7 linked regions of the Nothobranchius furzeri genome follow. The protein of the gene in region 1 binds, or shares a complex with, the protein of each later gene. Links are inferred from orthologs where the notes say so. Each region holds a gene or a part of one and is shown in the gene's direction. Other genes may lie near its edges.

Region 1 (4,073 bases):
TGTGTGTGTGTGTGTGTGTGTGTGTGTGTGTGTGTGTGTGTGTGTGTGTGTTCAAATAATAAAGTTAAAGTCCCATAGTCATCATCACACTGGTGAAATTCATCTCCACATCTGACACATCCCGATGGAGAGCAGGGAGCTGCTGCAGTGGCTGCGCTCAGTAATTTGGTTGTTTAACCCCCTAATGCAACCCTTTAAAGCTGAGTGTTAAGCAGGGGGGGGGATTGGGTTCCTTGTTAAAGTCTTTGGTATGACTAGACCGGTATTCAAACCCGATCTCCCAATCCCAGGGCAGACACCTGATAGTGGCCTAAATTGTTTTATATCTGAAATGTTTGAGAAGAAATTACAAACTTGTTAGTTAAATTTCACAATCAAAAAGAATTACTTGATGTTCCTCTGAGTCTACAGCAGAGGGACAATAGGCCACCAGAGGGCGTATGATCTGATGTGTTTGTAATGCTGCTAATAGTTTTTGTTTTAGCGCGTTAATTTAATCTTGTTTAACACAGATAATTATGATACATTTATTAAGCTTCATCGGTTGTGTAGTTTATATAACTGCAGACCTTCTGACCTCTTGTTATTTCTTTTATTTTGAAAGGATTTATAGGAAGTGCTAATTGGTTATGTGTTGTTCAACTTTATGTGAACACTGTAGTAACCGCCTCTGACCGCCAGAGGTTGGAAAAAACCCTACTCTCGAAAGCCAGAAACTAATTGAGTTCTTGTTATCAAGTTGACATAAACAATACATTTAATCACTTATAGACAGATTGTGTTGGCATCAGTTACGTCAAAAGATTATTTAGACAAAAAGCAGTTAAACATAAAATTTTCTTACAAATTTATGTCATTCGTTTTTATTTATTTTTCTTTCTTTTTTTGTTTTTTGTTGTTATGGTTGTTGTTGTTGTTGTTGTTCTTGTGAAGCGCCTGCTCATGATTATTATCTTGAGCGGTCTTGTAAAAGATCGTTTCTTCTTTTTATCAACGACATTTCTAATGGCTATTTTTGTGTATTTTGTTTATTAATCGTTTATACATTTAGTGTCCAATCAAAATGCGTTAATTATTTTTCTGTTTAAAACTAAAATTACCTTTTAAAAATTATTTCAAGTACTACGGAAGAGGATTAAGGCCACTGAAAACAAAGAATAATGATTTAAATCTGAAAATTCTGAGATTAAAGTCAGAATTATCTTTCTGTTCATTTTTTTATTGTATTTTTCTTTTGTTTTCATTGGCCCTCGTCCGTTCTAACATAATATTTTAGGTTTACCATTCTAGCCAGAGCCGCGTTGACTTTGATTTATGGACGGTTGTGAATCTCATTTTGGCAGAAGGAGCGCGTCACGTTTCGCCTCCAGAACAACAGGGGGCGCTACTGCTCTGGCAGCCACTGTTCTTACACCAACAAAAACATGGCGGACCCAGACAAACCAAAAGCAGCTACTTGTACGTTTTTGTTTAAAAAATCCACCAAGAAATTCTCCGGAAGAAAACGAAAAGCAAGTGACAGCGATAAAGGTAGTAAACTATCATTTAGATACATTTCCTTGTAATTTTCTCCTAACTAGCGTTGTCTGTCCTCTGGATAGAATTGATAGCGGCTTCTCATCAGGGAGATCAAAACCGCGACCCAAACAGTTTGTTTATATTATCCTCCATAATAAACAGGACCAAAAACATTATGGTTTATCACCTGAAAGCTACATTTAAACAAAGAGGGGAAGTAACCTAGTTTAATTGTAATAGATTTTGTAATGTTTGTTTACACCAATTGTGTGTGTGTGTGTGTGCGCGTGTGTGTTTGTTTGTTTGTTTTAGATGGCGATAGTGACACTGAACAGACTGCTGTGGTCAGAAAAGAAAAGAAGGATGCTCGAGTCAACCCCATGATTCAAAAGGTAGAGCAGGCAAGCTAATAGATACTTAGTTATGAAGCAGCAACGTGAATGATCTATGTATTCTTTGTTCAGACAAAAAAAGTGGAGAGGGACGCTGTGTCTTCTAGTGAAAGCGAGGAGGAAAAGGGAGACAAAAAGATAACGGTTGCTTACAAGTCTTCCCGATCAGCGGTGAGTTCAGACTGCATTCATTCAAAAATGTCAGAGCCAGACAGTACAAGTCAAACACTGATCTTTTTTCCATCATGGCTCAACCTGGCTGTTGAGACAAAACATACAGGGGCTGAAACTTCACCAGAAAAGCAAATTTTAACATTATTTTACAATCTACAGACCATTCTCATCCACGTACACATGACTATGTGCCCTGAACAGTTGTTTTTATTTACTTTAAAACTTTCTACTGTACCTTGCCTTCATAAAAAGAAACCCGAGGGGCCTGAAGACATGGGTGCAACTGCCACTTATCAGCTGGACACAGAGAGAGACAAGGATGCTCAAGCTATTTTTGAGAGGAGTCAGAAAATCCAAGAGGTAGGACATGCCGCTATTGGTTAATATAAAATGAGAAATAATCAAAATCTCACCTTCGTCATTTGAGCTTTCCCTCCTCTGTCTCATTAGGAGCTAACAGGTAAAGAAGATGATAAAATATACCGTGGCATCAATAACTACCAAAAATTCATCAAGCCTAAAGACACCACCATGGGCAATGCCTCTTCAGGCATGGTCAGGTGAGGCAAGAGATATTCACATGCAGTCAGAAGATGTTGTTCACCTATAGATGCTGAAGGTTACGTTCAATCTGTGCTACAGAAAAGGACCGATTCGAGCTCCTGAACACCTGAGAGCTACAGTCCGGTGGGACTACCAACCGGATATTTGCAAAGACTACAAGGAGACGGGTTTCTGTGGATTTGGGGGTTGGTGAAAACAATCTGAACTCTTAAAACGTTCCTACTGTGAAGTCAAAGGTTTTGTTTATTAATCATGATTGCATCCGTTGCCATTAGACAGCTGCAAGTTCCTCCATGACAGGTCGGACTACAAACACGGCTGGCAGATTGAGAGGGAACTGGAGGAAGGGAGATATGGAGCAAATGGTGAGTAAATAATCGAACTTGAAATCTTCTCTTTTGCTGGCTAGACTAAGTTTCTGATGTGTTTTCATCTAGATGACGAGAACTATGAGGTGAGCAGTGATGATGAAGACTTGCCCTTCAAGTGCTTCATCTGCAGAGAATCTTTTAAAAATCCCATCATCACAAAGTAAGTACTGCGATGGTTTCTCTCCTTCAGTCCTTGTTTATTACCGGCTGGTAATCGCTGTTTCCTTAGGTGTAAGCACTATTTTTGTGAGAGCTGTGCTCTTCAGCATTATCGCAAGTCAAAGCGCTGCTACGTGTGCAACACTCAGACCAATGGTGTCTTCAACCCCGCTAAAGGTAAATGCATTTGCTCAAAAACATCCAAGAGGAGCAGAAACCAAAGTAAACAGTCACACTTGATGTTTTATTGTCATTTATTCTAGAGCTGATTGCCAAGATGGAGAAACGCAACGCTTTAGCCGACCAGCCACCGTCAGACGAAGAAGATTAGAACACGCTTTAGAACCCTCTCTGTGTTTGTCTGTGTACATTTCTAATAAAGTTCATGGCCTCGGTTCCTTTTGTACAATCATGTTGAAACACTGAAGCAGGCCTGGGTTTGTAGTAAAAGTTTTACATTTGTAACACGTTGCTTTGTCCAAACTTTCAAATATACATGCAGACAAAACCAGCACCAAGAAAACATTTACATCTGACGTCAGTAACACCCAGAGAGCCGAAGAAAAGGCTAACTTTTACGCTCTTAATGCTAAACTAATAATTACAACCTGTGCAACAAAAGAGTCTGAACCGTGAGACGATGCATCTGCTGTAGCAGACCGGAGCTAAGAAATGCTGTCAGTCCTCAGAGAGGACTGCTAGGTGCCCTTATGGTCGTCTCCTGGAGCAGACGGACCAAATCGTGTTAACACAAACGGTGGAGCGTCTCCTGGTAATATTACGTAGCAGCATTTCATTGATCCGTCTCCTGACCTTTATGGTTTGGGCTACATCTACCTTTAGAAAACTCAAGAGTTGTCCTTTTGGTTCGTGGGTGTGTGTAGAGTACAATCCG
Region 2 (4,208 bases), on another chromosome or scaffold:
TGAACCAAAGGACTTATTTCCACTTTGTTACTACCTGTGATGCTACCACTACTTTCAGGGTCTGGCCTGCACACATCAAAATCATAAAAAGATTCCTCACACTCACTCACTCACTCACACACACACACACACACACACACACACACACACACACACACACACACACACACACACACACACACACACACACACACACACACACACACACACACACACACACACACACACGTAAAGTGCCCAACCACAAACTACTCACTGAAAGGTGTTTACAGATCAGCCATGGCTGCTGACGCCAGTCAATGAGCCAAATGCAATGGAAATCAAATGAAGATTCATTTGATGATGTCTTTTATTATCCCATTATGCCTTCTCTTTCCCCATTAAAAAGCTCTTTCAATGTGGGACAGACCTGCATTAGGCCACTTTTATGTGTCCCGTAGCAATCCCCGAGACACATCTCCTGGAACAAACATACACGGGTATGTATATTATGTGTACTTTATGTTTATTCTAGTTCTTTGCATATCATTTGTGCAGTACACTGTGGCCATACTCAGTGTTGTAAAAATAGATAAAATTAGTTCATTTTAATGTTTTGTTTTTATGTCTAATGCTGTTTTGATTTGCATGAGATACAGATCATAAAAATACTGTTGTGGGTGATTCAATGATGGATCAATGTTCCATGGGAATTTAAAAAGTACCTAACACTGAGCTGCTTTATGAAAAGCCATGTAAAGCTGTAAATGTCAACTTGGAGCCAAGATGACAAGTAATGCAAAACTGTTCTATTTTTCTGAAAGAAAATGCAAATCAATCCTGCTACTGGATCAACATTTGCTTTTTAAAACAATACAGTTCAGTGTCTGGTGTAGCTGCATAAATTGCCCATCGTCATTAGACGATGCAGAAAATGTAGTCAACAGCTGATTTCCTTCAAAATCATGGAAATCAAGTTTATTCATTAAACTTTAGTCAGATGTACGTAAACACATATTCAGTCCTCTTAGAAATGCAATGTTCTACTTGTGGAGAATGAAAATCAATTTTCATTTCCATCATAACTCAACATTTATAGAAGAAAGAATGAAACAATCTTTTATATAGCGCCCCCAAGATAAAAATCGCGAGGTGCTTCTCAAGCATAAAAAATTAAAAACAAATACAAGTAAAAAACAGATTATAAATTAAGGAAACGTGATTAAAATGTAAATAGTTTCTTATAATTTTAGTTTTTATTTTATTTAATTTTATGTGTTTCAGTCTTTATAAAAAAAATAATTCTACATAAGAAGCTGAGTTTGTCAGTTTCACTAAATAATAGTCCCATAGACTGTACATACTCAATAGTCCTCAACCATGGGCGTTATTGAACTACGTGTCCCACAATGCATCGCGGTAGGTGCCACCGGAAACACTCGTTGTGACCCTTCGTTGCAGGCGGAAAAAAAGGCTCAAAAGGATCCCGAAAGCGTCAAACGCACGTTGCAGTTCAAGAAGAAATAACAATAAAGCAAATAACTCTTACGAACAAGTCAAGGTAAGTTACAGGAGTAACATTAATTAGTTTGAGGAAACGGAGTTCTCATTCTTCTATTGGTTTTCGTTATTTAGAAATTTCGATTTATTTCGTTCATGTGTAGCATGGCTAAGGTTACGCGCATTTTCAAAACTCCGTATGTTACTGTAAAATATTTAGGTATTTAACTATGCTTATTAATCGTAGTAAACTGTAAATAGCATTTACGGCCAATCATATTTACTGTTTGGAATTGTTTAATGGTAGTTTCTAGATAAATTTGTCCTGTAGCCTTGCTAGCTAGTATGGCTAACTGAGCTAGCGGTTAGAATGCTATCAAACATTCTCCACCAGACTCTTAAAAAAAGAGAATACCCAAGCGAAATCGTTTATTCTCTAGTAATGTTATAAAGTGTATTACTGCGTAAATTCATGCTAAATAATAAAAACACCTTCATTTTAGTTAAGTCTAAATACTATGTCCCACATGAAAGTTTCAATTAATGTAGCGTTCGGGTTCACAACACTTCTTTTGTTATGGCTTTTTGCACAAAACCTGTTTTCCCAGGGCGTCTTTCCTTATTTGTCTTAATTTCAGTGACTAGTATTAATCCACAGTCATGAAAAAGTTCACTCGCCTTATTCTGTTGCTTCTCCTACTAGTTGTAATGCAGATTGTAGATTTCAGTGCTGGAAACTGGGCAACCCGGCTAACCAATAAAGTTAAATGGATTTGGGTTGCCAATATTTAAGAGCAGACATTTCTGTGGGTGAGCACGTATAATCTTTTGCTTTGTGTGTTGTGTTCCAGGAAAAGCTTTGAAACATGTCCATCGGTGTACCAATCAAGGTCCTGCATGAGGCAGAGGGTCACATTGTGACCTGTGAGACCAACACTGGAGAGGTGTACAGGGGCAAGCTGATAGAAGCAGAGGACAATATGAACTGCCAGGTTGGTTTGTTTAGCAGTATGGTTTAAAAGGGTTCCAGTGATTTTTAATTGTCAAGAAAAGTGTCAATGAAAAGCCTTCAAAATACTGTTGATCATAAACATCCAGTCAGTGCTTGTTTCAATCCCATCTGCTGCCTGAATAAATTTTGTTTTTATTTCTCTTGCAAATTGCCTTTCTTGCAGCTTTTTAATGGGTTAAATTAAAAAAAATATTTAATTTTTATTTTGTGCACTCACAATAACTTGGGTCAGTAAATTTGGCATTTAAGGTGTTCTGTTAATGTGGATTTTTTGTGGGGTATGTAGTCATAAAAGCTTTTGTTTGTGTAATTACTGGTAAACTAATTTGTGTTTGGGATTAGTGTTCCCCTAAATTGCAAAACGTTTGGCCAAACAATGGTGTACATGGATGCTTGGTGTGAAGAGTTTTATTTTTTTGTAAAAGTGTTTCATTAAAGCATTCTTATCAGAAAGGCTTTTATGTTGGGTTTTCATTTTAAGTTGGTCTTTAGCTTTCATGATTTACCCAGTTCAGTCAGTTATTTAACTCTGTTGTTGCATCATAATTTAATAAACAGTCTAAAGTAACATCACTCTTCAATTGGATTCTATTTCAGCACACATTTTTATAAGGGTTGAATAAACTGAAATGTTAATTTACATTTGAGCCATGCTAGTTTGGTAACCTGTGTGCACCAAGATCCAGATAAGTAACAGAACTGGATTAATGGATGCTCACACGGTCATTTCACCTGTTGTGGACCTAAACTTGAATTTGTCCCTACAGATGTCCAACATCACCGTGACCTACCGCGATGGCCGGGTTGCACAGTTGGAACAGGTCTACATTCGCGGCAGCAAGATCCGCTTTTTGATCCTACCGGACATGTTAAAGAATGCTCCGATGTTAAAGAGTATGAAGAACAAGAACCAAGGCTCTGGGGCAGGAAGAGGAAAGGCAGCTATTCTTAAAGCACAAGGTGAGTGAGAAGCATTTGGACAATTTCTCCAGATGCTGAGACAGCGCTAGAGTTTAGTTCCCTCTTTAGCTGCTTGGCTCTTAAATAGTTGTTAATTACTTTTTTTTACAGGTAACAACAGTGTTCTATGTGGACACTTCTCACATTTTCTGAGGTGGAATGGTTTGAAAGACAGATCCCAATTCTTTTTTATCTAATATAAAGGGAAAAAAAGGCTTTTTCAAAGGAATGTTTAATGGTATTGTCTAATTTCTTCTCTTGTAGAAGTCCAACATAGTCAAAATATTTGAGTAGGGAAAATAGGGATTTGTGGGGGGGCATTTCTTCCAGACCAAAGAGATACCTTTTTTTGGAGTTTGACTTTTTATTTTTACTTTTAACAGTGGCTGCAAGAGGACGAGGTCGTGGTGGAATGGGGAGAGGCAACATTTTCCAGAAGAGACGATAACTTATTTTGTTTTAAATTTCATTGTTTGATGTCATCTTTTGGATTTACTATGCTTTGGTTTACTTTGCAGTCTTTTGCTCTACAATTTATCACTGTTTTTATTTTGTATGAAATAAACAGATTTCAGCTCAGTGTTGCTCTTCTTGACTGAACCTTTGCTGTGCTTTGCCCCATTGAAGCCCTTTTTTTGTAGTATTATTCAATTTTGAGTCCCACCTCTTTCATTTATATTGTGTATTGTAACCTTTTAGCAAGTAAAATTTGTACATTTACCCACGGAAAAGCATTTTACTGCATATTTATCCTAGT
Region 3 (4,197 bases), about 56 Mb from region 1:
CAATTATGCGCGCGCGCACACACACACACACACACACACACACACACACACACACAAACACACACACACACCTAAGGAATTCAGACAGACCAATTAACCTAACACTCAAGTTTTTGGACTGTGGGAGGAAGCCGGAGTACCCGGAGAGAACCCACGCATGCACAGGGAGAACATGCAAACTCCATGCAGAAAGATCCCAGGCCGAGAAGCAAACCCAGGACCTTTATATATATATGCATGGTGGCGCAGTGGTTAGCACTGTTGCCTCGCAGCATGAAGGTCGCAGGTTCAAAACTCGCCTTTCTGCGTGGAGTTGCGTGTTCTCCCCATGCATGCGTGGGTTTCCTCCGGGTACTCCGGTTTCCCCCACACATCACAACATGCCCTACAGGTTATTAAAAAAAAACTTGTACGTCGCTTTGGATAAAAGTGTCTGCGAAATGAATAAACATAAACATACACACACACACATATATATATATACACACACACACATATATATATATATATATATATATATATATATATATATATATATATATATATATATATATATATATATATATATAGAAAGAGAGAGATAGAGAGAGAGAGAGAGACTCAAAAATGTAAGCCTAACTAAAATAGGTTGTTTAAAATGTAAATAGTTTGTACTTACAGACACTCCGTATTTAAGGGCCAGGCCCTGCAAAGTCTCTCCCGGTTGGACGACATGTTCCACGACTCTGCGGCGAACCGGAGACTGTGAAGGTCGGATCAAACTGCCGTAAGATCTGGTTCGGCTTCCGCGAAGGAGGCCCCCTCTCCCGGGAGGCGATGGCTCTCGCTCCCCGGACATTTTGGTGTATCATTTGTGTTTAAACCCGTCCAAGGTGCGGCAGAATACAGAGAGCTGTAAACTTTAGCTTTTACCAGAGAAACATGTATGTAAGAACTAGCACACGACCCAACTATTCAAGCTTCTTTCCTTTTTAAACCTGCTATTTTAAGCTTAGCAATACAGCACCTGCAGCACACACAGGGCCTCTGATGTAAAAACCCCGTTAAACTATATGATAAACCTATTTTACACACCTGAAAAGTTATCGTGAACTTGTTAGCATTTTCTCGTATCTCGTGAAGTCAGCAGCAGCAGTAGCAGCTACGCTGGTTGCCATGGCTGCCTGGGCTGGTCACATGATTCTTAACAAACGGTGCGTTTAATACAATACGAATAACAGAAATCACTTTAAAGTTGTTCGAATTCGTTTTAGGAGTACCTAACGTTTAAACTGTTTCTGCACTTGAGCAGTCTTTTTTAATGATAATTATGAGCGACAAATAATGGATATGATTCAGAAATGTTTGTGCACACTTTAGTTCAAAGCTGAACTCCGTTCTAAATTTGGAGGTTAGAATTTCCCATGCGTCGATTCTTCTGTGAACGCATCAGCAGGGCTAGCCTAGCATTGACAAAAAGCAGCTAATCTGGTTCCAACTTCAGTTTAAGAGTATATGTCATAGCAATGTCTTTTAAAAGAGAGGGGAATGACAAGAGTCAACTCAACATTCTTAAGGTTAAATATTGTTTTATACGTTGTCTGTTTCATTAAATATTATACGTTTGTGTAGTTAGCATCATGTTAGCATCCTGTTAGCTTCCTGTCCTGGGAGCACTCACTATTTCAACTTTGTTGACATTTTTCAGAAAAGGCGTGTGGCCGATCTGCTGTCTCATTTTATTCCTGAAGACGAAGCTGCGCTGCTGAAAAATGGAAGGTGAATTTCGGCTTGACTCACGTTCGGAAAAGAAACAGACATGTTGTTACATTAATAACTGAAAACGTGTGTGGTTTTTTAGATATACTTGTCTGGTGTGCTCCTACCGTCCCGTGTTTGATACGGTTGATGTGCTGACCGTCCACAGGCAAGGGAAGAAGCATCTAGAAGGTAAAAGTGAGCTTAAATGTGTCATTCCCTGTGGGTAAGGGATGAGGTTTGGAAGAACTTTTCTAAGTCAGGTGTTATGATTTTCTTACATTGTCTGACATCAAAGAAACACTTGAAAGTATCTGATGATATTGTGGGAAGACAATAGAACATACAGTCTGATCAATTTGTTTATTACAAATCATTAAAACAACAGCACGTGGTTTTTACTCAAAATCCAAGAACTTCACCCTGAGTTAAAGTATGGAAGAGGATTAAGGCCACTGAAAATAAAACATATGAAAAGAAAGACATCAGATTTTTCCCCTCAGAAATCTGGCTTTAATCTCAGAATTATTAAAGTCACAATCAAGAAAAAAGTCAGAATTCTGAGAAAAATGCCAGAAATCAGAGATTAACTCATTAACTGCCATTGACGACTAAAGTCGTCATTTGCATTTTTTTTACTATGTGGGCGTCGGAACGAGCCCCCGCACCGTGAGAACAAACATTCCAGCTATAAGCTGATCTTCATTCGTGTACGTCACACGCCACGTGATCAGGAAGCAGAAAATCCATGTGTTAGGAGATCGTTTTGGGCCACAGCTGTAAAAAAATAAGTGAGGCGCAAACCGGAAAAGCTTCTGCCGATCACAGTTCGACTACAGATTATGTAAGAATGGATAACACTCGAAACATGTAGATTCTGAAGAAGAAGAAGAAAATATCATTTCTATGGCGCCTCTCAAGATAAAAATCACGAGGCGCTTCACAAAAACAAAAAAATGTAAAAAATATAAAAAAGCATTTAGAAAATGTTTAAAAATTTATTTCAAATGAGCAAAAATAGACAATTGGGATTTAAAAGAAAACAATTTTAAGAAAGAGAGAGTGAATAGGAAAGAGGGAAATCAGTGGATCCTGAGGAAGGTGGAATAGGTGGGGAGAGCAGAATAAAGAGAGAGGGGTTGAAGAAGGCCATACAAAAGCCAGCTTGAACAAGTGAGTTTTCAGCTGCTTTTTAAAGGAGTCCACTGATCTCAGGCTCAAGGAGAGAGAGAGTTCCAGAATCTGGGGGCCACAGCAGCAAATGATCTGTCACCTTTGGTCTTTAGACTGGTGCGTTGCACAACCAGTAGGCTTTGATCACTGGACCTCAGGGACCTGCTGGGGGTGTAGGGACTAAGAAGATCACCAATGTAAGATGGTGCTTGTCCATGTAAGGCCCTATAGACCAGAACCAGAATCTTGAAATGAACCCTGATTCTGCCTGATGTAAGAGGTGAGTCTACTCTTCGTTTTGTTAGTTTTGGCGTTGACATCATCCTAGAGCACAACGTTCATTGACTCTTAAAGAAACAGTAGAAACACTGAAAAACGCTGGCTGCGAAGGGCTTTTCTGATCAGAGAATGGCAGGAGTGTGTCCAGGGAGTGCCCTGGGGTAGCAAATGCCACCCTTGAAATCCCAGGTGCCACCCCACCGAGTTCCATATAAATTGACTTTACATTCTCCACAAAAGGCTTAGGGTTACAATACAATAACCATAGGGGCCACTCGTGCATAAACAAGTGCCCCACCTGGGCCACCCCATTTTAAAGAGCTTGGACACGCCACTGGAGAACGGCTGGCAGTTAGTGAGTTAAAGTCAGAATTCTTTTTTTAAATTTTTTTTCTTCAGTGGCCCTAATTATCTTCAGTATTAGAAAAGACAAAACAAAAACAATCCATAATTACTTGTATACCAAAAAGTGTTTAAAAACCTGAGCAACAAAGAATTAACAGCTGTAAATTAATCATATGCAACTTGTGATGCATTTTAAATATCAAAATGCATACTAAAAAGGGGTTAATAGCTTGTTTTGATTATCGATATTAACATCGCTACACCACTGTACTATAGTTACAGTGGGAGTCATGGCATGGGTGGGGACTTATTTCATTCACACTTCCTGTTAGGAAAACACTTCTGAAAGAGGTGTCACCTGGTGGACCAAGAGAGCGACTCAGAGGCAGTGATAGACAGCACTCCCCTCAACCCCCTCTGCGTGCGCTGTCGGAGTTTCTCTGTCGAAAAATTAGTCATTAACAAGTGCACACGCATGCTCACAGTAGACTTACCTTTCTGCAGTATTCTGGAGAATTTCCTGTTAACTGCGATCATTAGATGAAAAGGGGAGGAGGGCTTTTTTTTAAGGAGGCGAGCGATTCAAAGGCTCTTTAAAGGGACTTTATGGAGTTTTGAATTTTTATGCTCGCGATTGCCCCCTCAGGCCAAAAGCGTAACGGC
Region 4 (3,500 bases), on another chromosome or scaffold:
TGTGGTGTAGATCTCCCTTTTATTACATTTAGAGTGTTGTGGGTTTTCGGTTTAGTGTAAAATATCACCTGAGTTTGGTTTAACCCGTAAGACCACTCGCCTCACGCACATAAGTGACCAAAACAAAGCAGCATGGAGACACTCCATCTTCTACCACCTCTCAGGCAGCAGCCTGCACTCCCAAGTTCTACACGTCACCAGAACATAACCAACCGCAACACAATAAAAGCAGTGTTATACAAAATGGAAGGCCTGTAGTGTTTATTCTCTTACAGTAAGAATTTATCAATTTTTTTGAGGAATTTATTTGAGATTTTCTGGTTTTTGTTAATTGTGCAATAGAAAAATAATCATTAGATTAATTTTCTAAATAGTCATTAGAATAGTCGACTATTCGATAAAATAATCGTCAGAATAATCGTTTTAAAAATAATCGTTTACCCCCAGCCCTAAGTGTCAATAACTTTACAGCAATCCTCATACTAAGCAAGCATAACCACTGGCGCTGCTGTAAGCCAACGCCATGAGGCAGAAGGACAGGATGCAGCTGTATGATGTTATGCAGACATGGTCAGTTTTGAGTTTACTGTACAACGTGTACAACTTTTGACCCTAATGACTATAAACTGAGTTTTACAGTGATGCTTTGTCATTATGCATTCCCAAGTCAAAATCGTCTCTTGTATTTCCGCCATGCTACTTATTTTAATTTACAGTTAGGTCTGGGACAATAATCAATAAATCAATTCATACGATAGATGAAAATGAACTCAATAATTTTTCCAGCCTGGATACGTCGTTTTTTGTCAGACACGTGACCTGCATGTCAACCGCACCCCTTAGCACCATTTTAGGTGTATGACTCGTGTTGCTAGGGGAAACTGAAGATGAAGCAGAACAAGTAAAAAGGATGGATGAAAAGAACAAGGATGAACGCATCCCTTACAGGATTAAAGTTGTGAAGGAGTCTAGAGATCAGTATTTTCAGAAATTGTTTACAATCAGTAACGTAGATCTCTACGACCTCAAAGGAAACAAACGGAGCTCAGGCGTTTCAGTACTGCAGAAAATATATCACTTGTGTTAGTTAAATAAAGGTTTCATTGCTGCGTTTTAAAGGGTGTACTTGCATTATTATGATCCATTAACATTACATAAGTGGTTATTTTGGTCTCTATAATGTCAACAATAATATTGTTTATCATCAATAATTTGTTGGATAGCAAAATTTGTTATCGTCCCAGGCCTATTTACTGTCAGTGTGATTACTGAGTTCATCAACAAAAATTATGATCATTATTGAGTAATTTTCTTGACTTATTCACACAAAATGCTAGTTGTTACCATTTACTTTAAGTTGCCAGTGGTAAGCTGAAGCTAATTTAATACCACCTGATCAGGAGGAGGACTGGGCTGGTTACAAAATGCTTTTTTCCCACTTATCAAAATCTGGAGAATATGGCAACAGGCTAAATTTCACTTAGAGATGGAATATCCCTTTAGATATTCAGCTTGTGATGTCAGTGGCAGTTTATTTCATCTTAGACGAGCGTTAAAATAACTTTCTCGTGTTATTTTCCATTGTGCTTACAGATAGCCAATTCTGATGGCACTCGACCAGTAGGCCAGCTGGGGAAGGCAACAAGCTCCAGTGACATGTTGCTCAAACTGGCCCGCACTACTCCATATTACAAGAGGAACCGGCCCCATATCTGCTCCTTCTGGGTGAAGGGAGAGTGTAAGAGAGGCGAGGAGTGTCCCTACAGGTAAATAACTTAGTGGTCTCCGTGTTTTATGAATCTGACTTTGTGTTTTAACACCTGCCTCCTTAAGTGTATTTTCTACCTTATGCAGTTCTGCCCACTTTGCTTCCTCTGGTTTTCACTAACTTGTGCCATCCTGTCCAGCACTGGGTCATGAACAGACACAAAAGTGTGTGATGAAAAATGATCCAGGTTTCTGTAAATTCAGCTCTTATAAATATCCTACATCTGTCCCTCTTCTGCTGCTGTGAGGATTACTAAAGAAAACAGCCTGAGATCACCTTTAAAGTTATTTTAATTACACCAAAGATTTTCATGTAATAATGAAAAATGTGATTACCTGGATAAGAAAGCCTGTTCATCAGCTGATGCTCCTCACATCTGATCCGAGCTTCGTGACACAAATAAGAATGTTTTAATCCCACAAATGGAACAAAATGTTACTTCAGATTAAAGTAAAAAAAAAAAGTTGTGTTTTCATGCAATCAAATTAAAGTACATTAGTTCACCTGTAATGGTAAGTTTGGATGTTTTTCATCATAAACATTAAAGTCTGATGGCATTTTTTAAATGGGCTAAATGCTACAAGCTACACAGACTACGTTTACATGCAGCCAATATCCGGGTTATGATCGGGTTAAGGTCGGTATTCGGGTTTCTGAGTTGATCAGAATAACCCGTTTACAAGCATAAATAGAGTTACCTCTAACTTGCATAACCCGATTTAAATGCGGACGTTGGGATAGCGTCAGGACGTGTGGACTACGTCCAGACACAATATGCTTGTATATTTCGCTGTCTCTACTTTCGGCCGTCAACAAAAGACATAATGTTCATACTTTTCTCCAGACCAATGAAGACCGAGGTTTCCTCGTCACTCCAAAAGTGTGGTGCTGTGCCGCGACTCGCCATGTTGCTTCCAACTTGTTTACATGCATACAAGACGTCTCGCTACTCAAAAGACCAAGATTCCTTGCGAACAGAGCATGCGCAAAACACACGCTTTGATGGGAATATCCCGATTTGGTTTACATGACCAAACATCCGGGTTAGAAAAGGGTTACCCCAGGTGTAGTAAGAGCATATCTGGGTTTTTGGTGGTGTTTAAATGGCCGTGCAGAACCGGCTTATTGTGAATATTCGGGTTTTAAAAGGGTTACTGGCTGCAGGTAAACGCACTGACAGAATCCTGATCAGCTGTTTTAGTGGAATTTAAAAGTATCTCTGTGTTGTGTGTGTTCATTTCACTTTAGGCAGCAAATAAACTAAATTAAGTGTCTCAGTCTTTAGCACATAATAAATAACAATAGAAGATATTAGCAGGTCAGTAATCAGAGTAAAATGAGTAAAACTAACCAGATGTGCAGCTCTTGAGTCACGGAGTGTCATCCCCGTTTCGTATAAATGGAACAGAATCTTAAATAACATTTTGTTGCATTAAAACCGAAACACTTCAGCGTTTTGGTGGGTCGTTTAGGTGAAAAGCTTCATTCCCCAGAAGAGGTGAATCAGATGAAGCTGATGGACAGGCTGACGGCATCGGATCATATTTATTTAAAAACATCAATGAAAATGTTTGTTTTAAACAGTCCTGACTGCATCTGTAAACCCAGCTTGTGACACATCTTCCTGGTTTAGGAAGCATGTTTGAATCATGTTTTTGGTGATTTTATGAATAACAAAGCTCCGCAAAAACGAACAGCCTTTAGTATAACAGCAGCATAACTCACAACACCA
Region 5 (2,615 bases), on another chromosome or scaffold:
ACTCCTCTTCAGACTCCTCCAGCGAATCAGACTCCTCAGACTCCTCCTCCAGCAGCAGCAGCAGCTCAGGTACGATCTGATGAATGCTTTACTTTCTGCTGCGGTTTGACGTTTTAGATTTCAAGTGAGAGGATGAGTTATGTTTATAGTTCAGAGGTTGGGCAGGAACCAGATGTTCACCAGCTGATGAAATGAACCCAGAATGTTTTTATTTTGATTCTACATCTGCTGCAGGGAGGTCAGTGCACCATAAAACTGCTGCTACCAGTTTATCTTTATAGCAGGAACGAGCAGTGATTTCCAGATGTTTGGTAAAATATACAAATAAAAAATAGGCATTTCTTTTGATCTGTACAATGTATACACTTCCACAATTCGTCCATTTGGTTTTATTTTGAAAGGATTACACATTTGCCCAAGTTTTTTTGTAAAATTTTTTTGAATTATTCACATTTCCACTCATTCCTGAGTAGCGATGGGTACCGAATTCTGTACTTATTAAGGTACCGACCGAATTCCATAGTACCGATTGAGCACAGATTCACGTCATTTCTAACGGTGCCTCGTTTCGGTACCCGTCCTTCATAACGAGAACTTGCCTAGGCAGCTGCGCAAGAGCGTTATGTCGTCGGTCGCTGCGAGCCAGTTGTAAACAGAGCAGCATGGTAGAAAGAACGCACGCTAAAGCTTGGGTCCACTTCACTAAATTTGATGGGTAACTGGGTGATGATGAAACCAGCGACAACGATCTAAATGAGACATCCTCATCTTAATCTGCTCCGGTTGATAACGTTAGCTTGATATGTTAGCTTCCGTTTCACTAATGGTGCGTTCGCTTTCTCCTCGGAACTCCGAATTTCCGACTAGAAGAACATGAACGCGCTCTAAAGTTTGGCTTCACTTTACTAAATGCGACGGGTGATTGGGTGAAGATGAAACCAGTGACAACGATCTAAGTGTGAGGTATCATCATTTTAATCTGCTCCAGCAGCTAAATAAACTGTTTAAGATAAAGTTAGCTTGATGAATTAGCTTCCATTGCCACCGTTGTTATCAGCTAATGGTGCGTTCGCTTTCTCCTCGGAAATTCTAACTTCCCAGTAGGAAAAATCTAATGAAAAAAGACGGCAAAAGGAATGAAGATACACAGTAAATTTAGTTCACAGTAAAGATGTTTGCTTCAGTTTAATTATCAGCTTATAAAACTACAAGGACGATGTTAAAATACAAACAGTTGTATGTTATTTATCGTGATATTTATCAAATATGGTTATATATTGAGAAACATATATATTTAATTATAAAAGAGAATTAAAATATTAAACACTCAAAAGTATCTAAAATTGGTAGCGTTAAGAACCGGTATCGATTCCTAGGTACCGGGAATTAGTACCGAATCGATTCAAATGTCAAAGGTACCCATCCCTATTCCTGAGTCTAAATGTGTGGTTTTAAAAGTCAAATTGATAGAAGTTCTAGAAGTTACATTTCCCCGCTTTTGTCCTCCAGACTCTGATGACAAACATAAAAAGAAGAGAAAAGGCCGAAGTGAGGAGAAAAAGAAGAGGGAGAAGAGGAAGGAGAAACCTGACAAGCGTGGGGGTGGACGCAAGAACGACAAGGACAGAGACGAGGGTGAGAAGCAGTCGGGGAAAGACAAGAGAACCCGTGTGCGTGATTTGGACGAACGCTCACGTGAGGATACCCGGTGGAGAAGACGAGATGAAAGGCCAGAGGAAGATGAGCGGCGTAAGGAGGAGGAGGAGAGGAGGCGAAAAATTGACCATCAAAGAGACAGCGAGAGGGAGAGGGAGAGAGACAGAGGGAGAGACAGGGAAGGAGTGAGGGAGAGAGAGAAAGAAGAGACCAGAGACAGAGAGAGGAATAAAGAGAACAGAGACAGGAACAAAGAGCGAGAGGAGAGGAGGAGGAGGTGAACTCTTCATCTCTCTACTGCAGCAGCCATGATAAACTGATGATTGACAGCCCTCATCTCCTCAGCTTCTCACTTCTGATGTGGACCTGGGACCCATTTTTATTTTCCTCCTTCAGTCCTTCTGTTGAATTTAGTTGATGAAATGAAAGAAAAATTAAAGTTGTAATAGATGTTTTTAACTTTCGTGTCTCTGAATCCTGATCCACCTATACAGTTAGTGGTTTTTCTAAGCTTTCTTTTCATTTTCATAAACTTCAGCAAATTTATAGCTGGTGAATATAGAAGTTTTCAAAACTGAATGAATCAAATAATGAAACTATAAGATTTAATATTAGGAAAACAAACAGTTCAGACACAAACGGCTGCAGTTACATTACTTCACAAATGAAAAGGTTTTATGAAATTAAATTATAAAATGCAGGTCACTCCATGAGAAGAAATTTTAGATTTTCAAAATAAAAGCTGAGACTTAGTTGAGAGTTCCTGAACTTTGTTGTGTTCCAGCTGTAAGTAAATTTGCAGCTTTACAGACTAAAGAAGCCCAAACTAAACGGATTCATCTCCACCCATCACATCTGATATTCAGCTCTCTAAATCATGAATCGATATTTACCCATTGTTTTCTAACTTAAGTGTCTTTAGTGCGACACACACCTTCCTGAATTATTCTTCAACCTTG
Region 6 (4,255 bases), on another chromosome or scaffold:
AAGGGTGGCAGAAATATTTGAGGTCATCAATGTTCAACCTGTTCATTTTTCTGTTTGTTTCAGCCATGATCTCTGAAGTTAGTGGAAAAAACCTTTAAGGAGTGGAAGGATCAGGAAACACAGCCGGCCAGATCTACTCCATAAACAACTCTCTGGCACATAATTGCTCCTATTTACATGAAAATGGATATTTTTGTTGGTAAACTTGCTGTGACTACTTTGTTTGTTTACTTTTGTGCCATGTCTTTTAGGTCTCAGAGGATTTGTTGGGAACTGAAAGAGTTGTGTGATAATCTGGGTTATGAGTCTGAGAGCTTTGACATTCAATCACTTTTATATAAAAGTGATTTGAACTGCACAATTCTTAATGGCTTAAAACTAAAGTACATTAAACTTATTGGGGGTAAAATTGGACCATTTTGCTGTTTTTATTTAAGTGTGTAAAACAGATCTAAACAAATGTTTCTACAGAGCAGCTGCTACATGAGGTTGTGATTGAGCCACCATACACCACGAGATAAAGTTACAGTCATTAATGAGGTAGCAAATAAATAATGAATACAAAAAGGTGCAACAAGGAGGCAACAAAAACTTGTTAAAATATGATAAGAACAAATAAAAAAGATGCAAAACATCAAAGTACATTGTGTGTGTGTGTGTGTGTGTGTGTGTGCGCGCGCGCGTGCGTGCGTGTGTGTGTGTGTGTGTGTCAGAGAGAGAGAGATAGACAGATCCAGGGCCTAAATAAATCATTATGATGACATCACTGAGTTCCTCAAGCTAAAGATCTTAAATCATCACTACTTTTGAGTTACTGCTGGGAACAATAACGTGTTCAGTGTCTATCGAGTAGAGTCAGTTTCTAAATGGAGCTAAAGCATGTCTCCTACAGCACTGACAGAATGGTGATGGTGATAACAAATGTCGTCTTTGTTTCTGCAAATAGAATTAAAGTAAACATTAATTCTTCTTTTTTTTCATTATAAAAAATCTAATATTGTTTTACTGTGCCATCCTTATTTTATCACACAAAATTGAATTGTATTTGTTTTAATCATTTGTATTTCCAAACAAGAATCAAATGACCACTTGTTTTTTTTTATTATTATTTGTATTATTTTTTTTAATTACTGATTTGGTTCCCTGATGAAAGACTCCTATTATCAAAATTAACACTTGTTAATGTGATGCTTTTGTGTCCAAAATGAGGGAAAAAATGTCTGTTTGTCAGTGTTAATTATTCGTTTTATTTTTCTATTTGTTTTATTTTATTTATTAGCAAAAATTAGATGGAAAATCAAGCCATAGCTCATCCATTTTTACATCAAAAAGATAAGCGGCTTGTTTAGCAATTGAGTATTTTCAGTTTTACAACAAAAGCCAGATTATGACTCTTGTGGTATTTTTTAAAAAGAAAAATATATACCATAACAAGGATGGTGGAGCGGTTTACCCCTTTTGATCCTCCGCGCTATCCGTAGTTTCGGACAACAGTCAACATGGCTGCCTCCAATGGCGTCAGTAAAGGAGCTGAGCTTTCTAAAGCTGAGTACCTCAAACGTTATCTGTCAGCCAGCGAAGATGCTAGTAAATCAAAAGGAAAGATAAAAAAGAAACGACGCAAAGTTCCTGAAAAAGGGTGAGTTTGTGAGAGAGTTCTATAAAGTTTCTTTTCACTTGTATGCTAGCTGTTTCGCTAGTCACTGTGTCAGTTATCGCTTTTTTGTTACTTGGTGACATTTATTATTTTCCTTTTATTTCAGACTTAAAATAGTAGATGATGATATAGACTGGAGACAGATGGTCACAGAACCGAAGGAGATTGAAGAGGAGGAAGAAGAAGAAGCTCCTGTGGTAAACAGCTAGCTAACGTTAGCTTTTTCGAAAGACCTTAATTCGATTCAAACGCTTTTAAAGCAAATCTCTCCCTTCAGTAATCTCTGGCAATATTAAGACAGGCGTTCAGTTTTAGACTCCATACATTGGGTTGAGTTTATGAAAGTGTATTCACAAGTTTTTAGACACTAAAACTTGATCCCAAGTGGGTCAAAATACTTAGAATGTTTTTGTGCCATTTTAATAATTTTTGTTTAAAAAGATCAAGAGGAAGATATTTTGCACTATAAACAGGGCTAAACAAGTGCAAAATTATAGTTTTTTTTCTTGCAACAAATAATAATTTAATTTGTGGAAAAAAAATCTTTTTGCGTAATCTGTCCATATAATCCAGGAGGGAAAAAAAGCTGAATTCTGACATAAACAGAGACAAAAAAACACAAACTTTTATTTATTAGAAGGTTCTAATGAGTGATGTTTCCTCAAATGTTATGGAAATGCAATATGGATAAATTTGTGTGCCCACTAAGATTGCTGAATTCATTGACGAGCGACCAGAGGAGGTGAAACAGATGGAAGTCTTCAGGACCAGCAACAGATGGAAAATAGTTGGAGGTAAACGTGAAACACAAACAAAATCTGTTCCTTTGTTTAAGAAAATCATCATCTAGTCTTCCCTGTAGCTGATGAGAACGAGGAAGATGAAACAACGGGGGAACGTGTAGAGTCTTTGGAATCTAGCAAAATTCACCAAGACTCACCGGAGAGGTCATCAAAAGACATGAGACACAATTCTCCCATCAGAAAAGCAAGACATGACTCTCCGGACACATCTCCTCCAAGGAGAGGTCGCCACGACTCTCCAGACTTGTCACCTTCAAGAGGGCATTCAGGGAAATCAGGAAAGGGCCGATATAAAGGTGAGTGATAAACGTTTTTTTCTGTGTCTCTCATGGACAGGCATTTGTTTTAGCATCCTGTTCTCCACCACTGATTGAAGCATATTCAGGGTTTTTCCTGCATTCAAATTCGGCCGCCCCAGCCTGATTTCACTCTGCCCCCAGCTATATGGGTGTTATTTTAACTGCAGTTGCAGCGTTACGCCCCTACAGGGGCGCTGTATCAGCAGCGGCGCACCGAAAAGCACTAAAACCACTGCAGACAAAGAAGATCAAAAACTGCTTTTCTCGCTAGTTACATATCTATGGTTGGTGTTATTGACATCCTGATTTTCCCCCAGGCTCTTCCATATCAGAGCAGAGCTGTACAGTGTGACGAAAAGAACTGTCTGTGCGTGTCTGTCTATGTTTAAACGTAGCACTGGTGCAACATCTTTGAATTACTATTTTCCCCAGAACTTTATTGAACAAAGTTAGTTGCGTGTAAGAAAAATGCTTTTTACCGGCGCAGTGTGGTCATCTGGATGCAGTGGAGGAAAATACAGGAACCAGCAAAGGCAGAACCGGTCCAAAGTTTGGGATCAAAAGTGCAGCTACACGCAGATTGGCTAATGCTAAAGCTAACGGTTAGCAGTCTCACGATCAAGTGGTGCACAGAAAAATATATGATGGTAAAACTAAGAAAGACTAAAATCTACAAGCGGATGAAAAGTCCCCACCATCCTGTTTATTCTGCATCCTGCAGCGCTATGGATCAGAACCGCTGCAGATACGAGTCACATTACTGCCACAATGCTGCAGTCGCCATGGTAACTCTGTCTCCCTATCCCACCCTGGGTGGGACTGCGACCGGTGAAGGCCATTGAATCGTTTCCAGGAGTCACTGTGCCCTCTAACCCACATACCTCCTTCCCCTGTCCAAACGGAGGTGACGAGCGCTGCTTATCGCGGCTGCATGCACTGATGTGTGGAGAGTCCCAGACCCTACCACCCCACCTAGTGGACACTTATGTTGTGTAATGTCTGAAGTCTGTTGCATTTCTGTCTGAGGTGTTTTTTTGCATAGCAAAGCTGCCCTCCCTGTCTCTGAAGTGCCTTTTTTCCCTCCACCTGACCCAATCCTTATGTAAACCCTCCGGGTCGCGAATGACCACAGTCACCAATTCTTGTCATGTGTCTATGCCTATGTATGTATGTCTGATCTCAGAATTGTGTGTACTGAAACTCTAATTTCCCTCTGGGATTAATAAAGTATCTTTGAATTGAATGGAACGGCTATGGCAAGCCGTTGTAGTATATAATTAACAGACGCTTCTATCTTTCAACATAATTTGAACTGGATTATTGCCAACCCGTACATAATAGACATGCCACCATTACATTTTTAGCAGCCAAAATTAAATGTTATTACCATTTCTGATACAAATGCATATTAATGAAATGCATTATATAATTATATAAGTATCTCGGGGTCTTGTTCACGAGTGAGGGTAGGAGGGATCGGGAGATCGACAGGCGGA
Region 7 (3,668 bases), on another chromosome or scaffold:
ACTTTGTCAGTAGGTTAGGGTTCAAAATAGGGATGCACAATATATTGGCATTAATATCGGTATTGGTCCGATACATTAAACTGGGCCAATATTAACTGATAATTTTTCCATCTTGTTTTCATTTGTTTATCTGTTTCAGAGGGTGAGGGAGGTGATGTGTAATTGTTTAGTCATGTGACAGTGATTGCAATCATCTAACAGTGTAAACATGTGTGGTGTGTGTACATAACGTCAATTCAGCTTTAATCTTTACAAATCTGTTGATCTTAGAAGCATTAATGTCAGTATATCGGTATTGGCAAACATCGGTTATCGGCCATAACAGCGATATATCAGATATTGGTATCAGCCCCAAAGTTTCATATCGGTGCATTGCACTGAAGATTTCTGTTTATTCAACTTTTCAGGAATATTTATGAGCTTCAGGTAAAAAAAATGTCATAGCAGGAGGTCAGAAAATAATGAAATGCAAACCTGAACCATGATCGCATACAAGACTAAACTGTGACCTTCTTTCATCGAAGGATTGCGTAATTATACCAGTCACTATGGTGTCATGTTGTGAGGTAAGTGTCTAACCCACGACTTACAGAATCAGTTCACAGACTACGGTCGGTTTTAAACAATAAATTAATGGAGAAAACAAGGGAGCAGCATAAATGTAGCTGAGATCTTCAACAGGAGTCGGGTGCAGGAATCTGCAGACAGATGGAGGTTAGATCCAGCTTGAAAAGGGCAACAGGGACTTTAGAAAACTGGGGAAGCACTAAGATTGGTCTGTAATTATCATACTGTAGTAAACAAGATTTGTGGTTTTCTTAATTTGAACACTACATTTTATTGACCTTGTAAACATCCATCCATCCATCCATTGTCTGAACCCGCTTTGTCCACGTAGGGTTGCGGTGGGCTGGTGCCTATCTCCAGCGGTCAATGGGCAATCAGGCGGGATATACCCTGGACAGAAAGCCAGTCCATCGCAGGGCAACACAGAGACACACAGGACAAACAATCATGCACGCACACACACACACACACACACACACACACGCACACACACACACACACACACACACACACACACACACACCTAAGGACTGTGGGAGGAAGCCGGAGTACCCGGAGAGAACCCACGCATGCACAGGGAGAACATGCAAACTCCATGCAGAAAGATCTCAGGCTGGGAAGTGAACCCAAGGCAACAGCTCTAACCACTGCGCAGCCGACCTCGTAAACAATACAAGTAAAATAGGTTCTTGGAGTCCTGTCATGCCGGTCAAAATATGCACGATTTTTCTCCGATTGTTCCTGAACGCGTCTAGTTCCGGAAGTGACGCACCGTTGTGTACAGGAACGTTTCCTTTTCACTTTTGGAAGCAGCTTCGTAAGTGTTGTTGCTTTAAAAACGTATTTAAATTGTGTTGTTTATTTTAAGCTTTGTGTTTCAAACATGTTTACTCTCGTAATTATCTTGCATTGGGTTTTAAAAATAGGAAATGTTCCTTAAATTGCATTGTCACCCACGTTAGCCTGTTAGCAACTGATTAGCGGTGGAAGCTATCAAGCTAACTTGTGTTTTAAACAACATTTAGGAGGAAACTGATCGTTAAAGGTTTTAACTCATATTAACATTAGACTTATTATGATGTATATCTAAAATTACTTATTGTAATTTATGAATTGGTCAGTTATTTTCTGCTTTACGTTTTGCCAGAGCACGGCCATCAAAGATGACTACAGCTGCAAGACCAACATTTGAGCCGGCGAGAGGGGGTAGAGGAAAAGGAGAAGGGGATTTGAGTGCTCTTTCTAAGCAGTATTCCAGTCGGGATCTTCCAGGTCACACCAAGATCAAATACAGGTCAGAACAGTGGGTTCCAGTTTCTCAACCTTAAATATTTATTCGAACTACTTAAACTGTGTTTCTTTCATCTCAATTAAAAGGCAGCCTACCCAGGATGCCCCTGAGGAAGTGCGTGCCCGTGATTTTCGCCGAGAGCTGGAGGAGAGGGAGCGTGTAGCTGCTCGTGAGAAGACCAGAGAGAGGGGACCAAGAGGTGGATTTTTCTACTCATAATAAAGATTAGATCCAAAAAGGATGTATGCAACGGTTTCTGGCATAGTTCCTTTAATCTGTATTGTGTTGATTTTATTTCTTCAGAGCACACCACATCATCTTCTTCATCATCATCATCTTCAAAAAGGCCCAGACTGGATCAGATCCCAGCAGCCAACCTTGATGCCGATGACCCTCTCACTGATGTAAGGATTTACATTGCAATACATCCCAGACTTACACTGGATAAAGTTATTAATCCATTTTTACATTACAGGATGACGAAGACGAGAACTCAGATGAAGAAAGTGATGATGACGACACTGCAGCCCTGCTGGCTGAACTTGAAAAAATTAAGAAAGAGCGAGCTGAAGAGCAAGAACGCAAAGTAAAGAGTTTTAAGTTTGTGTTTGCTTTGGCTATAAATGAAAAGTGATGTTATAGAGGATGGCTTAACCTCCGTGTGCTTTTCTTTTGTTATTTAGGAAAGAGAGCAGAAGGCAGAGGAAGAGAGGATTCGAATGGAAAATATTTTGAGTGGAAATCCATTGATAAATTTAGCAGGACAGCAACAGCAGCAGCAGCAACAACAGCAACAGAGCCAAACTCAGAACACATTCAGAGTCAAGAGAAGGTATTTCTTATGTTCACTTGTTACAGCAAGAATGTTGGTTTTTTGTTTGTTTGCATTTGGAAAAACAAATATATTCCTTCACCACCACTAATAATTCTGATGTACTTCTAGGTGGGATGATGACGTAGTGTTCAAAAACTGCGCCAAAGGAGTGGATGAGGCGCGGAAAGAGAAACGTTTTGTCAACGACACGCTGCGCTCTGAGTTCCACAAGAAATTTATGGAGAAATATGTAAAGTAGAGGACTTTGTGTGTGTGTTTCATTTGATCTTTTTTAATTGAAAATGTTTTAGTTTCAAGCATTTTAATTGCAGCTGGCATTTATTTACAGTCTAACTAATTGGAAACCGTACTGTCTGCAGGTCAGTTGCTGTTTGCGTAAATCATGAAAGTTTGAAGCACATTTCAGAATGTGATTTCAGTATTTCTGTCATGCATTTTTCATTATTTGAATAAACATTGACTTTTTTCCCTTGAATTACTTTGCATAATTTCACAGAAATAACAGATTGTGCATTTTTTAATTTTAAAGGGTAAATTAACTTAAAAAGTTAAGTTTTATAAAAAATGCTAGGGGTGGGGTGCCTAAAATCAGCACAGAAATGGGTATGAAGAGTGTTGCTTTTCATTTAACCCTCCACTCCCTAGTGCTTTTTTTGTGCAAAAGGTAATGGGTTTTGCAAAAGTTCAAGGATGTGGCGAGGGTTAAAAGATACTTTGTAACTTGTTCATATTTTTAGATAATTTTCTTGAGCCAGTATGTGCTAAAATAACCCTTCACAGTGTTAATGAAATGCCACCCAGCCCCTATCGCCCCCTGTGGCCAAAATATCCCACTTGCAGCTTCACAGTTGCTGGTCTGATCTGTTGAACTTAGAAGAACTTGAGCTGACATACCTGGCGCTGCAGTCTAGTTCCAGCAAGTTTCCTGCATGGTTTAGATCATGAACACAGCTGATTTGTTTCATTTAGTGATGA

The links.
Region 2: rnf113a (region 1) and snrpd3l share a complex: the UniProt entries of both Homo sapiens proteins name them as parts of the minor spliceosome. The link is inferred for Nothobranchius furzeri from reciprocal best matches to the Homo sapiens genes RNF113A and SNRPD3.
Region 3: rnf113a (region 1) and scnm1 share a complex: the UniProt entries of both Homo sapiens proteins name them as parts of the minor spliceosome. The link is inferred for Nothobranchius furzeri from reciprocal best matches to the Homo sapiens genes RNF113A and SCNM1.
Region 4: rnf113a (region 1) and rbm22 share a complex: the UniProt entries of both Homo sapiens proteins name them as parts of the pre-catalytic and catalytic spliceosome complex. The link is inferred for Nothobranchius furzeri from reciprocal best matches to the Homo sapiens genes RNF113A and RBM22.
Region 5: rnf113a (region 1) and cwc22 share a complex: the UniProt entries of both Homo sapiens proteins name them as parts of the minor spliceosome. The link is inferred for Nothobranchius furzeri from reciprocal best matches to the Homo sapiens genes RNF113A and CWC22.
Region 6: rnf113a (region 1) and bud13 share a complex: the UniProt entries of both Homo sapiens proteins name them as parts of the minor spliceosome. The link is inferred for Nothobranchius furzeri from reciprocal best matches to the Homo sapiens genes RNF113A and BUD13.
Region 7: rnf113a (region 1) and cwc15 share a complex: the UniProt entries of both Homo sapiens proteins name them as parts of the minor spliceosome. The link is inferred for Nothobranchius furzeri from reciprocal best matches to the Homo sapiens genes RNF113A and CWC15.

Annotation. Positions count from the first base shown.
Region 1 is NC_091745.1:10,008,299-10,012,371, forward strand, and holds rnf113a (E3 ubiquitin-protein ligase RNF113A), read left to right. Parts: upstream 1-1,370; 5' UTR 1,371-1,424; coding exon 1,425-1,530; intron 1,531-1,830; coding exon 1,831-1,910; intron 1,911-1,982; coding exon 1,983-2,081; intron 2,082-2,336; coding exon 2,337-2,444; intron 2,445-2,534; coding exon 2,535-2,644; intron 2,645-2,726; coding exon 2,727-2,833; intron 2,834-2,923; coding exon 2,924-3,013; intron 3,014-3,085; coding exon 3,086-3,179; intron 3,180-3,248; coding exon 3,249-3,355; intron 3,356-3,441; coding exon 3,442-3,509; 3' UTR 3,510-3,573; downstream 3,574-4,073. UniProt on the Homo sapiens protein: Required for pre-mRNA splicing as component of the spliceosome. As a component of the minor spliceosome, involved in the splicing of U12-type introns in pre-mRNAs. E3 ubiquitin-protein ligase that catalyzes the transfer of ubiquitin onto target proteins.
Region 2 is NC_091746.1:48,714,771-48,718,978, forward strand, and holds snrpd3l (small nuclear ribonucleoprotein D3 polypeptide, like), read left to right. Parts: upstream 1-1,408; 5' UTR 1,409-1,540; intron 1,541-2,330; 5' UTR 2,331-2,345; coding exon 2,346-2,471; intron 2,472-3,258; coding exon 3,259-3,451; intron 3,452-3,834; coding exon 3,835-3,899; 3' UTR 3,900-4,030; downstream 4,031-4,208. UniProt on the Homo sapiens protein: Plays a role in pre-mRNA splicing as a core component of the spliceosomal U1, U2, U4 and U5 small nuclear ribonucleoproteins (snRNPs), the building blocks of the spliceosome.
Region 3 is NC_091745.1:65,775,870-65,780,066, forward strand, and holds the start of scnm1 (sodium channel modifier 1), read left to right. Parts: upstream 1-1,397; 5' UTR 1,398-1,505; coding exon 1,506-1,556; intron 1,557-1,687; coding exon 1,688-1,758; intron 1,759-1,840; coding exon 1,841-1,929; intron 1,930-4,197. Other genes in the region: lysmd1 (lysM and putative peptidoglycan-binding domain-containing protein 1), read right to left, coding at 659-838. UniProt on the Homo sapiens protein: As a component of the minor spliceosome, involved in the splicing of U12-type introns in pre-mRNAs. Plays a role in the regulation of primary cilia length and Hedgehog signaling.
Region 4 is NC_091741.1:95,930,087-95,933,586, reverse strand, and holds part of rbm22 (pre-mRNA-splicing factor RBM22), read left to right. Parts: intron 1-1,593; coding exon 1,594-1,766; intron 1,767-3,500. UniProt on the Homo sapiens protein: Required for pre-mRNA splicing as component of the activated spliceosome. Involved in the first step of pre-mRNA splicing.
Region 5 is NC_091754.1:30,050,200-30,052,814, forward strand, and holds the end of cwc22 (pre-mRNA-splicing factor CWC22 homolog), read left to right. Parts: coding exon 1-69; intron 70-1,509; coding exon 1,510-1,937; 3' UTR 1,938-2,115; downstream 2,116-2,615. UniProt on the Homo sapiens protein: Required for pre-mRNA splicing as component of the spliceosome. As a component of the minor spliceosome, involved in the splicing of U12-type introns in pre-mRNAs. Promotes exon-junction complex (EJC) assembly.
Region 6 is NC_091750.1:44,767,950-44,772,204, reverse strand, and holds the start of bud13 (BUD13 homolog), read left to right. Parts: upstream 1-1,455; 5' UTR 1,456-1,499; coding exon 1,500-1,639; intron 1,640-1,763; coding exon 1,764-1,854; intron 1,855-2,366; coding exon 2,367-2,451; intron 2,452-2,519; coding exon 2,520-2,756; intron 2,757-4,255. Other genes in the region: rsph3 (radial spoke head protein 3 homolog), read left to right, coding at 64-98. UniProt on the Homo sapiens protein: Involved in pre-mRNA splicing as component of the activated spliceosome. As a component of the minor spliceosome, involved in the splicing of U12-type introns in pre-mRNAs.
Region 7 is NC_091750.1:48,553,524-48,557,191, forward strand, and holds cwc15 (protein CWC15 homolog), read left to right. Parts: upstream 1-1,233; 5' UTR 1,234-1,384; intron 1,385-1,469; exon of another isoform or gene 1,470-1,612; intron 1,613-1,714; 5' UTR 1,715-1,730; coding exon 1,731-1,861; intron 1,862-1,944; coding exon 1,945-2,057; intron 2,058-2,161; coding exon 2,162-2,262; intron 2,263-2,333; coding exon 2,334-2,444; intron 2,445-2,541; coding exon 2,542-2,690; intron 2,691-2,801; coding exon 2,802-2,931; 3' UTR 2,932-3,168; downstream 3,169-3,668. UniProt on the Homo sapiens protein: Involved in pre-mRNA splicing as component of the spliceosome. Component of the PRP19-CDC5L complex that forms an integral part of the spliceosome and is required for activating pre-mRNA splicing.